Nothobranchius furzeri: one gene and its partner. The protein of the gene in region 1 purifies or fractionates together with the protein of each later gene. This does not show direct contact. Links are inferred from orthologs where the notes say so. Each region holds a gene or a part of one and is shown in the gene's direction. Other genes may lie near its edges. The genes, in order: vbp1 and pfdn2.

Region 1 (7,918 bases):
TGACGGCGACCATAGACAACAGCAATGCTTCACAGGCGAACAAAAAAAAGCACCTCGGTATCCCCGAAGCAGTGTTTGTGGTGCGTATAACCAGACGCTTCTGACGGTGTTACATGTTTGTAACGGATGTAATGTATATTTGGTGTGACCGGTTTGTCAGCGGCGCAATTCTGACTCAGCTAGGAGGCTAAGTTAGCAGGTGAGCTAACAGAGTGTCCTGCTGTGTGTGCATGTTGGGCGGCTGCTCGCTTCCATCTATGGACATCACTGTCTGCCTGTAATATTCAGCTCACCTGGTGTTTCTGAGGTCCTTCAGCTGGACTTACCTGCCAGAGTCAACTGTGTCTTTAGTTAGCTAGCTAGCTAACTAGCTTGTCCATTACTCAGAACAGTACTAGCATCTTGTCTGACGTGCCCTGTCATAGAGAGCATTAACGAGCACAGCTCAGCGATTTTTTTAAATATTACATTGAAAGATTTCCACTTTAATCTGCTAATGATATTAACTTTGCTAATGTTTTGAGATGGTATTAAAAATGTGAGATTTTTGTATAATCTGGCCAATTTATCTTGATTCGATTCTCATTTAAATTAAAACAGAAAAATAAAGATAGAAAGTAGGCCTGGGACGATAACAGAATTTGTTGGACGATATATTGTCCAACAAATTATTGACGATAAATGATATTATTGTTGACATTATCAAGACCAAAATAACCACTTATGTAATGTTAATATATCATAATAATGCAAGGACACCCATTAAAATGCAACAATTAAACCTTTATTTAACATGGGAATGTCCAGACCCTGAACTTCTAAATAAATAAAACAAACAAAAAATAAATAAATATAAAAGTGCTTTCACTCTTTTAGAAAATATTGCACCAAAAACAATAACGTAGACCCCGTCTCCAAAACAACAAATACAATGGCCTATCCAGTGTCAAGAACCAAACTGCACTTCAATAATAATTGTACATTTCTTAACCTCAATATATTGAGGCTTGATTATTGAGTTCATTTTCAGCCCTAATATGAAGGGAAAATAACACGCATTGGAGTGAACAATAATGTCACAATTAGATCAAAAGTTCAGAATACCATTATGTTTAATGTGTAAATGAATGAAAAATACCAATGACAGACTAAAAGGGTTAAAAATCAAATTATAGATACTTGTAATGCTACCAGATTTGTAGGTGATGTTCTTTGGTTACGATGAGTGGATAAACGGCATCATATTAACAATTTGGGTAATTTATTAATTACTTCAGTGATTTTTCTTCATGGCAGGAGGAAGGTTTACACCTGGACACATTCTCAGATTACAGCACCTTACATGAGTATAGAAATTCTCATTTTCTTTTGTCTTTGTCTTTAACACAACAAATGCATTAATGTAATGAGATAAATAGATTTTTTCTTTTATTATCTGTGCATCAAACCATTTTATAGAATACAGTAACTTTTTTTTTTACCAGTGCCCAGGCGATTTACTTCTGATGCTGTCAAATCAAATTTAAACTGTTCAATCAAAACTTTCTGTGAAAAGTACTTAACTGTTAAATCACACATTTTTTCTCATTTTTAACAGAAAAGCTAAAAGATCATATTTATTTTAAACAAAAGATTATATTATATTTGTATTTATAAAAATGTTTGTAATTTTTTTGGTTTGTTACATTTATTTGTTTAATCTGACACTAATTTAGGGTTTTAATTCTCACTAACCTGTTTTATGGTTTCATTTATTGTGACTTTGAACTTATAGGTATAACAAACGGAAAAGTATTTTAGGAAATGGTAAGACCTTATTTGTGCTTCCATGTTAAAAACACAAAGGCCAATTCAGAAAAGTGTAATTTCATATTTTGTCCACCAGACGGCGCTGCAAACACATCTCACTGAGACTTTAGACATTTGACTTTGTGGTATTGAAAGTCTCATTTGTGGAGTAGTTATATAGGCCTTTCTGTTTTTTAATCCCTGTTTGCTGTTTTCCAGGAGGATGTCGACTCTTTTATGAAGCTGCCTGGCAACGAGACGGCAGACTCTGCTCTGAGGAAGCTGGATGAGCAGTACCAGAAATATAAGTACATGGAGCTCAACCTGTCCCAGAAGAAACTCCGGTAAAACAGAAATACAAACACTACGAGTTATTCGGGTTACATTAATACGTGCATGAATTGATATGTGTGCACCTGGTAGATCTGTAAAGTAGGAAAGCTGGATGCTTATTTATTTAACTAAAATCATTCTTATTTAATAGGTTGAAAAACCAGATTCCACAGATCACACAGACGCTAGAAATCCTACGACACATGCAGAAGAAAAAGGTGGGTGAAGTTCTGTAAACCAGCTCCATACTGGAAGTGAGTCTTCTCCAGTTCCTCTAGAATGACAACATAGGGATGGGTGAAATAAGCTACCGTAAATCCTCTAATACAGGCCCGGGTCTGTATTTGACTCAAGCTCATCAAGCTCCAGGCCTTTATTGGAAGGAGGACCAGAATTAGAGGCAGGCCTCAATTTCTATTTGAGCAAAATGAACTAATGGTTCGCTGGAGTTTTTGACAATTAGAATTGCGCCCACATTTTCAAAGTTAAACACATTTCTTTTAACAACGGTAGTTTCTGCTTCAGCCCTCTCCCCCTGCGCAGCGGTGCAAACTCACTGATGCGCCTGCAGCCTCTCGGAGTTCCTGCTGCTCTAAACATTAAAATAATTATTTTCTGTTCCTCACTTCTGATTACCTTCAATGGTGTCTGTTTGTTGCAACCACCAGGTACAAAAACTAACTTGTTTTTATTTGACTATTTTTCTGTCCTGTCTGTTTATTATCTTCCTGCATCTCCTCTCAATCCTAAAGAGAAACTGCTACCTGGGTTCATATATATTCACCTTATGAGTTACCTTTGAGCTGCAGTTCTAAAAGATCTACCGACCACAAAAACAGCGGAGTGCTCGCTGCTTGCCGGCCGCATCAGTGATCGGTGCGTCACAGAGGACAAAACAGGTGATGCACCCCGATCCACAGCAGCTAAAAGCATCAGGCACAAATAAAAGAATAAAAGACAGAAAACATAAAAGGAAATGAGCCGACATGAACGATTGCGTGTTAAATTAGTTTTTGAGGTGGCGACACTTGATTTGATAATGTTACTGTAGCCGTGCTCAGGACGCAGATGTCTGGAGTGCGTCAACAATCAGAGCTTTGCATGCGCAAGCTGGTTAAGGTTAGGATGGGGTGAGGGGAAGGTTAAATTGCAAGAGGGTAAACGTCACAATTTGGTTAAATGTCCGTTTTACGGCGGGTGTCAGTACCGACGCTCTGGCACAGCGCGTTGCCTCCCGACACGCAGGAGCTTGTTAATTGAATACAGGCCAATATTAGAGGATTTACGGTATGCTTCTTTCTTTGCCTTTTTGAACTATTTTAGTCTGTGTTCTTTGATATAAGCTGGAAAGTCATATATGGCGAGGCCATTTAATATATACAGTTGTGGTCAGAAGTTTACATACACTTGTAAAAAATATAATATAATGGCTCTACTGAGTGTCCCGTTATTTCTAAAACTCTGATTTTTCTCTGATAGAGTGATTGGAACAGATACTTCTTTGTCACAAAAAACATTCATGAAGTTTGGTTCTTTAATGTCTTTATTATGGGTTAACAGAGAAAAGTGATCACATTTGCTGGGTCACAAATATACATACAGCAACATGAACTAGCAATTTTGTTGACTTAGAAACGTGTCAGTGAACTGAGCTTCATAGCATGGCCTCTTAACTTCTTGTGAGTGATTATGAGTGACTACAGCTGGTGACTTCTCTTAGGCCAGGTAAATAGGGCTCATTGGATACAAACGCCCACAAACGCTACAATGGGAAAGTCAAAGGAGCTCAGCATGGATCTGAAAAAGTGAATTATTGACTTGAACAAGTCAGGAAAGTCACTTGGGGCCATTTCAAAGCAGCTGCAGGTCCCAAGAGCAACAGTGCAAACAATTGTTTGTAAGTATAAGGTGCATGGCACTGTTTCATCACTGCCAAGATCAGGAAGAAAACACAAGCTATCACCTGCTGCTGAGAGAAAATTGGTCAGGAGGGTAAAGAGTGAACCAAGAATCACCAAAAAGCAGATCTGCCAAGAATTAGAAGCTGCTGGAACACAGGTGTCATTGGCCACAGTCAAACGTGTTTTGCATCTCCATGGACTGAGAGGCTGCCGTGCAAGAAGGAAGCCCTTGCTCCAAAAGTGGCACCTTAAGGCTCGGCTGAAGTTTGCTGCTGATCACATGGACAAAGATAAGACCTTCTGGAGGAAAGTTCTGTGGTCAGATGAAACAAAAATCGAGCTTTTTGGCCACAATGCCCAGCAATATGTTTGGAGGAGAAAAGGTGAGGCCTTTAACCCCAAGAACACCATGCCTACAGTCAAGCATGGTGGTGGGAATATTATGCTATGGGGCTGTTTTGCTGCCAATGGAACTGGTGCTTAACAGAGAGTAAATGGGATAATGAAGAAGGAGGATTACCTTCACATTCTTCAACATAACCTAAAATCATCAGCACGAAGGTTGGGTCTTGGGCGCAGTTGGGTGTTCCAACAGGACAATGACCCCAAACACACATCAAAAGAGGTAAAGGAATGGCTAAATCAGGCTAGAATAAGGGTTTTAGAATGGCCTTCCCAAAGTCCTGACTTAAACCCCATTGAAAACATGTGGACAGTGCTGAAGAAACAAGTCCATGTCAGAAAGCCATCAAATTTAACTGAACTTCACCAATTCTGTCAAGAGGAGTGGTCAAAGATTCAACCAGAAGCTTGCCAGAAGCTTGTGGATGGCTACCAAAAGCGCCTAATTGAAGTGAAAATGGCTAAGGGACATGTAACCAAATATTAGCACTGCTGTATGTATATTTGTGACCCAGCAAATGTGATCACTTTTCTCTGTTAACCCATAATAAAGACATTAAAGAACCAAACTTCATGAATGTTTTTTGTGACAAAGAAGTATCTGTTCCAATCACTCTATCAGAGAAAAATCAGAGTTTTAGAAATAACGGGTCACTCAGTAGAGCCATTATATTATATTTTTTATAAGTGTATGTAAACTTCTGACCACAACTGTATATATATATATTTTTTTTTTACTTACTTTTGTTGTTTTCTTTCTTTTGTGAATTCAATATTATTTAACCTCGTTTGAGAAGAAAAAAATCATGAAGTAGCTGATTCTACCCCTAGACCTAAAGGACATAGGTAATGGAATTCCTTTTTTAATTTATTGTGGTACCTTTTGTTCCCACAGGAAACTACGGAGCGAATGGAAACACACTTCCTCCTAGCTGACAACGTTTACTGTAAGGCCTCGGTGCCGCCCACTGACAAAGTTTCTTTATGGTTAGGGGTGAGTAGCACTCAGGATGATGTCTGGTTTTATGGTCTTTGACTCGATTACAGTGGTGATCTGGTGTTTGCAGCTTCTGAAGTGATTAAAATAACCTCAAAGGGACAACCACACAACAGATTCCAGCTTATTGAGCTGTTCGGGATTGTTGTTCATGTTTATGACCCAGATGGACTCACATCTGACTCTATAGCACTTTAGTCTACAGAGAAGTTCATGATCCACTCAATGGCTGTAATGAACCCAAACCATCAGTCTTCCACCACCGTGCTGACAGCTGATACCACGGCTTGTTCTAATGTGCTGTGGTTGGTTTTATCCAGACAGTGCTATACATTATGGCTAAACATGTCTGCTTTGGTTTCGTCCATCCCTTAGGCCACTTTTCTCTCTGATGTTAACACACACCTGTATGCTCCAGACCAATACACCTTTGTAGAGGTGAAGATGATCATTGAATCAATATTTTCCACTTTCCGTTGGACTTCATTTGACTTTATTATAGTTTATTAAATAATGATGTCGAATCTGTTGTGTTTTGTAGACTTTGGGTTAGATTAAAACCTGATCACTCATTATATCATGGAACATTAAAGAGGACCAAAACGTTTCTCCCCTAAAGGCTAACGTCATGTTGGAGTATGACATCAACGAAGCCCAGGCCCTCCTGGAGAAGAACTTGTCCACAGCATCTCGTAACCTGGAGACCCTCGAGGAAGATCTGGATTTCCTGCGAGACCAGTTCACCACCACTGAAGTCAGTATCCTTCCACTGAGTGGTCCACTCTCACTGATCTGTGTCTATGGATGGCCACATGGATCAGAGGGAAGATTTGGAGACTTTGACCAAAAGAGAAATGACCTTTTCAGATCAGAAATAATTCCATTAGCTATCCTTTTATTAGGAAGGAGGTCACTGGTGACACTGGTTCAGTAAGTCACAGGACATGCAGTGTTTTTATAGTCATGAACAACATGGTGGGAATTAAAGTAAGTGAAGAAATGTGATCATTGTTATTGCATATTAGAACAGCCTAGATGGTAACATTTGTTCCAGCTGGGTGTTGTTTCAGTCATTAACTCTTTGTTTGGTTTGAGTTGAAGTGACTCAGCAGATCCACAGGAAACTTAAACGGCTCCAGAGGTTGCGAAGGTCAACATTTATTTAGTTCAGACTGGGAAATTATAGCCACTTTTACCCTGTTTACCAAAAGATTCAGCAAGTTTTAAACGATAACTCATTTTATCTAAGGTCACATGAGGTCACACAGGCTGTTTTTGTAATAGTGCAGTACAAATTGCATACGTCCTCGTCAAATCAGCGTCTTTTTCTCAACAGTCTTTCAATGTACATATACATATTATAATACATCATTAGAAAGCTGGGAGTCTTGTGATTCCAATGATAAATGGTCGTCGTCGTCTTCCTCCGCTTATCCGGGTCACGGGGGCAGCATCCCAACTAGGGAGCTCTAGACCGTCCTCTCCCCGGCCTTCTCCACCAGCTCCTCCGGCAGGACCTCAAGACGTTCCCGGACCAGATTGGAGATGTAACTTCTCCAACGTGTCCTGGGTCGACCCGGGGGCCTCCTGCCGGCAGGACATGCCCGAAACACCTCCCCGGGGAGGCGTCCAGGAGGTATCCTGACCAGATGCCCAAACCACCTCAACTTGCTCCTTTCGATCCGGAGGAGCAGCGGTTCTACTCCGAGTCCCTCCCGAATGTCCGAGCTCCTCACCCTATCTCTAAGGCTGAGCCCGGCCACCCTACGGAGGAAACTCATTTCGGCCGCTTGTATCCGCGATCTTGTTCTTTCGGTCATTACCCAAAGCTCATGACCATAGGTGAGGATTGGGACGTAGATCGACCGGTAAATCGAGAGCCTGGCTTTGTGGCTCAGCTCCCTCTTCACCACGACATATCGGCTCAGCATCCGCATCACTGCAGACGCCGAACCAATCCGCCTGTCGATCTCCCGATCCCTCCTACCCTCACTCGTGAACAAGACCCCGAGATACTTAAATTCCTCCACTTGAGGTAGGACCTCTCCCCCGACCCGGAGTTGGCAAGCCACCCTTTTCCGGTCGATAAATGGTGTTTACAGATTTAACCAGTTCTGTAGACACAATAACAGCTTGTTACACCACTCAGAAATTCTAAATATGGTGCTTACAGTTCAAAGCCTCTTCACTGACAGAATAGAGCAATCTTGAACAGTTATTTGTACATCCACAACGGTCCAGTAGAAGTACTCCAATAAAATAATTAGCTCACAACAAGTCTTTCATCCACAAAAGAATAAATAAATAAAGCTAACGGATCTCTGAAACCCTACAGAATTTCTTTCAGATGCGCCTTTCTAACCATAAACCCCGTAGGCACCTTCATAATAACTTCAAACTTTCTATCATTCATTGGGTGGATGGTTGCCCCCTCTCCTGGGGCAAAATCTTCAGTGATTAGCTGGTGGGTCAGAAGTGCCCCCCCCCCCCCCCCCCC
Region 2 (8,412 bases), about 5.3 Mb from region 1:
TCAGGTCACCCTTCTTAAAGATGGGGACCACCACCCCGGTCTGCCACTCCACAGGAACTGCCCCAATGACCACGCAATGTTGTAGAGACGTGTCAACCATGACAGCCCTACAACATCCATAGCCTTGAGATACACAGGACGAATCTCATCCGCCCCCGGGGCTCCGCCGCTGTGTAGTTGTTTGACTACCTCAGCAACTTCTGCCCCCGAGATTGGACAGTCCATCCCCAGGTCTCCCAGCTCTGGTTCCTCCTCGGAATGCGCATAGGTGTGATTGAGGAGCTCCTCAAAGTATTCCTCCCACCATCCGACTATAGCCCCAGTTGATGTCAGCTGCTCCCCATCCCCACTGTAAACAGTGTGAGCGAGTTGCTGCCTTCCTCTCCTGAGGTGCCGAACAGTTTGCCAGAACCTCTTTGGAGCCAATCGATAGTCTTTCTCCTTGGCCTCACCAAACTCCTCCCAGGTCAGAGATTTTGCCTCTGCAACTGCCACTGCTGCACTCCGCTTGGCTATCCGGTACCTGTCTGCTGCCTCCGGAGACCCACAGACCAGCCACGCCCTGTAGGCCTCCTTCTTCAGCCTGACGACTCCCCGAACCTCTGGTGCCCACCAGCGGGTACAGGGGTTGCCACCACGACTGGTACCGGCCACCTTGCGACCACAGCTAGCAACAGCCGCCTCAACAATCGCAGAGTGGAACAAGGCCCACTCGGAGTCAATGTCCCCCACTGCTCTCAGGACGTGGTCAAAGCTCTGCCGGAGGTGGGAGTTGAAGACCGTCTTAACAGGTTCTTCTGCCAGGCGTTCCCAGCAGACCTTCACTATGCGTTTGGGTCTGCCAAGTCTACGAGGCATCTTCCCCTGCCATCTGATCAAACTCACCACCAGGTGGTGATCAGTTGACAGCTCCGCCCCTCTCTTCACTTGGGTGTCCAAAACATACAGCCGCAGGTCAGATGATACGACTACAAAATCTATCATCGACCTGCGACCTAGGCTGCACTGCTACCAAGTGTACCGATGGGCATCCTTATGTTCAAACACGGTGTTCATTATGGCCAAACTGCGGCTTGCACAGAACTCCAATAACGAAACACCACTCGAGTTCAGATCAAGCGGACCGTTTCTCCCAATCACACCCCTCCAGGTCAAGCTGTCATTGCCCACGTGAGCATTGAAGTTCCCCAGCAGGACAATGGAGTCCCCTGATGGAGCACTATCTAGCACTCGTCCCAGGGACTCCATAAAGGGTGGGTACTCTGAACTAATATTTTGCCCATAAGCACAAACAACAGTCAGGACCCATTCCCCGACCCGAAGGCGCAGGGAAGCTACCCTCTCGTCCCCCGGGGTAAACCCCAACACACAGGCAGAGAGTCTTGGGGCTAACAAAAAGCCAACCCCAGCCCTCCGCCTCTCACCCGGAGCAACTCCAGCAAAGGAGAGTGTACAACAAGGACAACAAGGACTTGGGTTCCAGAGCCAATGCAATGTGTCGAGGTGAGTCCAACTATATCTAGCCGGTACCGCTCAACCTCTGCCACAAGCTCCTGCTCCTTCCCCGCCAGCGAGGTGACGTTCCATGTCCCAAAAACCAGTTTTCTTGTCCGGGGATCGGACCGCCAAGGCTCCCGCCTTGGTCTGCCACCCGATCCAGATTGCACCGGACCCTTCATGTTCCTCCTGCGGGTGGTGGGTCCACAGTTGGATGAGCCCATGTATCTGGTTTGGGCTGGGGCCGGCCGGGCACCATGGGTGAAAGCCCGGTCACCAGGCGCTCGCTCACGGGCCCCAACCCCAGGCCTGGCTCCAGAGTGGGACCCCGGTAACCCTCCGGGCCGGGTACTCCGACTGTTTGACTTTACCTCCATGAAAGATCCTGTGAACCGTTCTTTGTCTCACCCTTCACCTAAGACCAATTTGTCATGGGAGACCCTACCAGGGGCACAAAGTGCCCCAGACAACATAGCTCCTAGGATCATTAGGGCACTCAAACTCCTCTACCACGATAAGGAGACGGTTCAAGGAGGAGACAGTATGAAGCAAACAAGTATACTGATTTTTAACTTCTTTGGTGCGTTCTTACTGTGTTTAGTTTCTAATTCCATTTTTGGTTATTTTTAAAACACAGGAAAGGGTTTTCCTTACCTTGCTGCTGACATACGTTTCGTTTGCGTCAGCAGCAAGGTAAAGAAAAACCTTTCCTGTGTTTTAATAGGAACCAAAAATGGAATTTCATTTTTAACTTCTTTAACATTTCACAAAGTTTCATTAGAATAAAACTCGAAATGTGTTAATAAACCTGGCAAGTTGAGCATATTTTGAGATCGTGTCTCCTCCCAGTGTCTCTGAAAGGGACAGTGTCTCTTCTCTGCTGGACCCGATGTAATCAAACCCCTCAGGCAGGAAGACCATGCAGGCGCCTCTCTCTTTAGCTTCCTGCACCAGCTGCTCACAGACAGAGAAGTTGGCTTCCTTGTCAGGGGTAGATGTCACTTGACACACTGCGGCCAACGGGGCACGTGAGCTGGACATCCTGTGGAAAACAAACTTTTACAAATCCAGTGATCACAAGATGAAGCATTTCAAGTCAGGGATGGTTGCTCCCTGATTCCTGTCTCTGTTATGTTGCATTTTGTACACATTTACTACTCCTCCAGGTGACACAAATCGTGAATATGTGAGAATTTATGCTCCATATTTTTGTTGTTTGCAGAACAAATGCACGTGACAAAATTCTTATAAAATCTAGCAGTGCGTTGTTTGGTTTCAGTACTTATAAACAAACGCACCTGTTTTGCAGCAACGTCGGCAGAGAAGCCAAGTACTTCACAGACGATCTCAAAATGCACCTGGACATTGGTCCCATACAGCGTCACCTGAGGAGTTTAAACCCAGCTGGTGTTATTATAACGTTTGGTTAACCATCGACAATTACATAACGCGAGCAGCCCCTTCTTCTCTGCGATGCAAAAAATGACCAGAAATGTACATATAGCACCCTACTGCCACCTACTGGAGACTTTTTATAACAATATGTGGTAATAACAAAAAAACAAAAATAAATAAATAAAATAAAATAAAACTTTAAATGTAATGAAAAGTCCATTGTTTTAGGATGTGGAATAGTTTTTGAGTTGGCAATGTTTTTATACTCCTAAAATTGTTTTTAAAGTATTATAAATGCATCATAATCATTCAAATATAACACAGGTTTATAAATAACTATCAAAAATACCCTTAAACCAGACTGAATAAATATATTATTTTGCAAAGCAAACGTTTGGTCTAGTTCACTAATAAGATATAAACAGCACGTATACGTCGCATTTCAGTCAACTTTGAAGACATATTGACAATAATATTGTGTGTTTCTCAATTACAACTCTTTTCGTAATCATTCTGATTATTATGGCAAAGTTTTACATTAATAAATTTAAGTTCAGGTGCACTAAACCATGCATTGTTGCTTTTGAAAACAAATTCAAACAACACATTTAATGTGTTCAATCTTCTGAAAACCCCAGAGCAAATAAAAATCTAGAGGTCTGTATGAGGTTAATCCGCTTTCAGCAGTCCTTTACAGCGTTTGAATTATAAAAATAAAAAAATGTCGATAAATGCATTTAAGTGTATTTTTGTATTAAAAATTTACATGTATTTCTTCATTTGTTTTTAATTATTGATTTTAATTTATGTACGGTGTGCTTCTGATTATTGTCTAACATGAAAACTTTTGTTATTTTTGTTCATTTTTGTTTTGCTTTTGATGTTACCTATAGGCTGCTGTAAAGCACATTAAGTTACCTTTGTATAGGAAATGTGCTATACAAATAAAGCTGTCTTGTCTTGTCTTGGCGGTGTGCAAATTAATTAATTTAATGATTAATATGTCCTTTGGCTGAAATAAAGAATATTTGAAAGAGAAAAAACACGTCTAAAACTCCACGATGCAGAAACTGCTTTAATAAATAAGCTAGATTCGGAAAATGGGCTGCATGGTGGCGCAGTTGTTAGCACTGTTGCCTCGCAGCACGAAGGTTGCAGGTTCGAAACTCGGCTGCGGCCTTTCTGCGTGTTGCGTGTTCTCCCCATTCATGCGTGGGTTTCCTCCGGGTACTCCTGTTTCCCCCACAGATCAAAACATGCCCCATACGTTATAAATTGCAAGTCACTTTGGATAAAAGCCTCTGCCAAATAAATAAACATAAACATAAAATAAAAAAGCGTATGCACGAAAAAACAAAAACAATACAAAGTTGATGGAAGTTAATAGAAATTATTCCTTCAAATGCCATTTTATTTTATGTTGAATTAAGTTGTATTTTGTTTGCGGTTCTGCTTCTGAGTTTTTACATGAAAAAGTAAAAGATGGTTGCAAAGTAATTTAGATGTTTTACAAGCCGCATTTGCACTCAGGCAATCTCATTAGATAGCTGCAGGGTCCTAATTGGCAACACCCTTCCAAGATGGCAGCGAACGGTAGCAGCACGGGTAGCAAGTCCAGCAGCAGCGCCGGCGGAAAACAGTCCGGACTTTCAGCTGAACAGGTACTCTCAATTATATAAAAAGGTTTCATTTGTCGTTACAATTATTTCTGTTGTTGTTTGGCTCAGTTTGGTAAAGCAGAACTAAAAGTATAGCCCCTAGCTAGTCTAAGCTAACATTAGCATTCCTGTCGCGATCATCTGGCTCAAAACCCAAATTTGGACATCGGGAACCGTTAGGAGTCTAATAAGGACATTATGAGAGTTTACATCAAACTCTTACTTCTAACAATTTTTACGTTAGTCTATGTATTTACGGTTTTGAAATAATGTGTTTGGTTTGGTGTGACTAAGCATAAAGCTATTTTTGTCCACCTAACCCTAATAAATTATTACTCAGACCATATTAAACAAATCACTGCTGTAATGTCTGTAATACAGTGCACTGTAGTCCGTAATATATCCTTTAACAACAATAATGGCAACATTAGAGTCGAGCAATACCTTCAAATATGTGTCAAAACCTTTATTGATCAGGTTTTACAAAAATAATAATAAAATGTAAATATTGCCATATTGTATCATAACCTTTTTGTTATTTTCTTACATATAAAGTCTATGACTCTGCGTAAATGGTGATTAAAACCATCAAATAAACAAAGTTTATGTCCACTACTTCTAAAAAGTTGTAGATTAAATCTGATAATAAAATTAAACCTTTACCATTAATGAGTTGCTGCATTATGTACATTTATTTAATAATCTTTTAAACAAAATTGTAATATGCTAATTACCAGTTATGACTTTAAGAGTTTGGTTTCAGTAGACAACTAAGGAGTAGCAGCATCTGTTTTTTATTTATTTATTATACTTAATAAAAAAATGATCAAATTCCATTTGTTTTCAGGTGGTAGCAACATTTCAGAGGATGCGTCAGGAGCAGCGTAGTATGGCTTCGAAAGCTGCTGAGCTGGAGATGGATGTCAACGAGCACAGGTTGGTGGAGCATCATCTACATTTATGTTCTAGACACAAATGTTTCACAAGATTTTGTAGGGGAAACAATCCAAAAGACAGACCGTTTAATACCTTTGCTATTTCTTTTCATATTTAGTTTAGTAATTGAGACCCTAAAGGAAGTGGATCCTTCCAGGAAATGCTTTCGTCTGGTTGGAGGAGTGTTGGTGGAAAGGACAGTAAAAGAAGTTCTACCAGCCTTAGAAAACAACAAAGAAAAGGTAATGTTATTTATTTCGGTCACAGGAATGATCAGGAGAATAAACTGAGACATTTTAAATCACTTATTTAACACCAAAATAACAATAAGTGTACATCGAGTTAATCTACATAATTTCACAAGAAAGAGTTTTGTTTATAGGTTTTGAAGTCAAAAATAAACGTTTAGGTGTCAACTGCAGGATGTTTCGTTTGTCTGATTTCTCATCCATCTTCCTCTGTTCTAATAGATTTCCAAAATAATCGAGACCATCAACACACAGATGCAGGCAAAAGGACAGGAGCTCACAGAGTACAGAGAACGTTACAATATCCGGCTGGTTGGAGAGGGTGAAGGAGAGGCGCAGGGCCAGTCGGCAGCAAACTCGCAAGACAATGAAGGAGGAGGATCCAAAAGTGGAGCAGGAGTTCTGGTCTCATAATGCTTTGAGGATGGACAGGGACAGCAGTGCCCTGTTATTTCTGCAGCACTGAAGAAGAAATGAAAACTAGCTCAAGTCAAGGAATTTAGGTGGAAAACTGAACTTTTCATAATGTTCCTTTTAGTTTTCTTGTTTAACTGTAATTTCCTGGAAGTTGTAATAATCATGGTCATCTGCTTCTCTGTTCAGTTGTTTATGTCCTCATTAAGGTCATTTGCCTTGCAGATGTTTTTTAAAATGCTGTCATACATTCAGCAAATAAATTAAAATGCCATAAAAAGGATTTTGAAGTTGCTGACATAAGTAAAAACATTTATCTTTCTCATCTAGCATATAAATCCTGTTGCACTGGGATGAAATTTTTAAAGACATTAAAAAAAAGTTAATGTCAGAATTAGATCCTTTTGCATTGTCATTAAGCATACACAATCGAAATTTATTGGTATGTCAGCTTTGAAAACGCACAAAGCTTTAAAAATGATGTACATTTTTGCGAAAAGGATGTAAAGGACTGAAAAACAACAAATAATTAAACGTGACTCATGAACAGGAGCCAGTACACAAAAGGAAAAATGGAGAAAAGGAAGAGGTTTCTCATGCTCACCAGATTATGTCATTGCGGCAGAGCCTGCCTCAACTCGACAGTACAGTGAGCTCTCACTCGGTTTTTACACTGCACACACTTCCAAAGCTTTACGGAAATAGTGCTTATGAACGCTTTCAAAGTAAAAGCCAGTCTCTGAAACGTGTTTTCAGACTTATTTCAAACGAACCATTCTAGAAAAAAAAATTTGAATCCAAAAGTGATCAACAAAAATTTTTATCACCATTTTAACTGTTTTTTCAAAACAAAGGCATATTGAAATTTGTTAAAATGTCTAAAAAACGAACAGGAGAAGCCCAAACATGGGTTTATTTAAATGAAAGACATTAAAATTTTCTTACTTTTCGTTTAGTTAATTTTTTGTTATCTTGTAGAGTAACATATAAACGGACCATATTAAATGTTACACATGACCACAGCACATTATAACAATATCACAAAAAAATAATAAAAAAACAGATTCTGTAGCCAAAGGTTAATTAGCAAACCCAGTTGGCTGGATTTTCCAATACTGCAAAGATAAAGTGAATCAGTAACGAATCAATAACTGGATAAACACTCAAACGATGTTGTTAGGACAATCAAGATGATTTATGTTCATAAAAAAAGTTGCCAAAGTACATGCGTAGGCCTATATTGTGGTAATAGCGGAAAGCTACCCTGGCTAGCCAGAATTAATAAATATATTATTGCAAGGCAAGAATTTGGGTTCACTAGGCTAGCGGAAAGCAGCAATCATAGCAAGCTAGCTAAACGACTTTAGATTTCATCACATGACAGCCCAAAAAACTAAGGTCTCCATAAAACGACTAACAGCGCTGTACAGCTTTGAAAACCTATTTCAAAAACTATATTTTAATATTAAAACAAGTCTAAAAGGTACTTATGTGTAGTTACAGAACCTAAGCTGTGTAAGCATGGTTGAGACTCGGAGGGAGACTATCCAGCTTTTTGACTGGCGCCCAAAAACTGATTGGTCCAATGCTTGCACCCAAAAGTCTGGTTCTCAAAAGTTGGAACAAATATGAACATTTGATTGGTTAAACCCTGCACGGAAATGGAACATTGAAACTGAGAGATTTCGCTCATCCCTTCAACCTGACCTCAGATTTGTCCATGCACATTTGATTATGGCGTGCTCGTAGCCTTGTGAGCTAGACCAAATAATTGCTTTGCAAAATTTAAATAATATATTTATTTAGTCTGGCTTGACAGCTAGTGTGCTTGTGCAGGCAAGCGTCCCTCTCTCCTTGCCGGAGTAAGTCTTCAGGTAGGTGTTTTGAGTTTTTATGTGTGTTTTCGTTTTGACTAAACGTTGCAGATTGGTAATTGAGAGGTGAGAAACAGATAAGTGACCATTACCAGTATTGACAAGATAAAACCTTGTTCCCTCACTTGTTCCGGTTGAGTTGCAATTGTTTATGGTTCCTCCGTACTTCACGAAAATTGCTGGCTGTTTTAATTATTTGGTCAAACTGAAGTATTTCTTTTAATTACTGTATCAAATTTGTGAAATTGGCAAACATGATCACATTTACAGTTTTTCTCAATTGCTAAAGCACAATTCCTGAAACCTTGCTCCCTTTTCTCAAAACATCAAACACAAAACCTCAGCTTCAAGCACGATTTACACAACCTCTCATTCCTCTTGCAAAATCAA

The links.
Region 2: the proteins of vbp1 (region 1) and pfdn2 fractionate together in Homo sapiens (co-fractionation; 8 studies listed by BioGRID and IntAct, counting the BioPlex papers as one, with this or other methods). This does not show direct contact. The link is inferred for Nothobranchius furzeri from reciprocal best matches to the Homo sapiens genes VBP1 and PFDN2.

Annotation. Positions count from the first base shown.
Region 1 is NC_091742.1:80,075,365-80,083,282, reverse strand, and holds part of vbp1 (prefoldin subunit 3), read left to right. Parts: coding exon 1-80; exon of another isoform or gene 81-199; intron 200-2,007; coding exon 2,008-2,132; intron 2,133-2,272; coding exon 2,273-2,339; intron 2,340-5,319; coding exon 5,320-5,418; intron 5,419-6,040; coding exon 6,041-6,179; intron 6,180-7,918. UniProt on the Homo sapiens protein: Binds specifically to cytosolic chaperonin (c-CPN) and transfers target proteins to it. Binds to nascent polypeptide chain and promotes folding in an environment in which there are many competing pathways for nonnative proteins.
Region 2 is NC_091742.1:74,817,954-74,826,365, forward strand, and holds pfdn2 (prefoldin subunit 2), read left to right. Parts: upstream 1-4,250; 5' UTR 4,251-4,472; coding exon 4,473-4,553; intron 4,554-5,397; coding exon 5,398-5,486; intron 5,487-5,604; coding exon 5,605-5,728; intron 5,729-5,956; coding exon 5,957-6,148; 3' UTR 6,149-6,431; downstream 6,432-8,412. Other genes in the region: nit1 (deaminated glutathione amidase), read right to left, coding at 2,306-2,539, 2,796-2,872. UniProt on the Homo sapiens protein: Binds specifically to cytosolic chaperonin (c-CPN) and transfers target proteins to it. Binds to nascent polypeptide chain and promotes folding in an environment in which there are many competing pathways for nonnative proteins.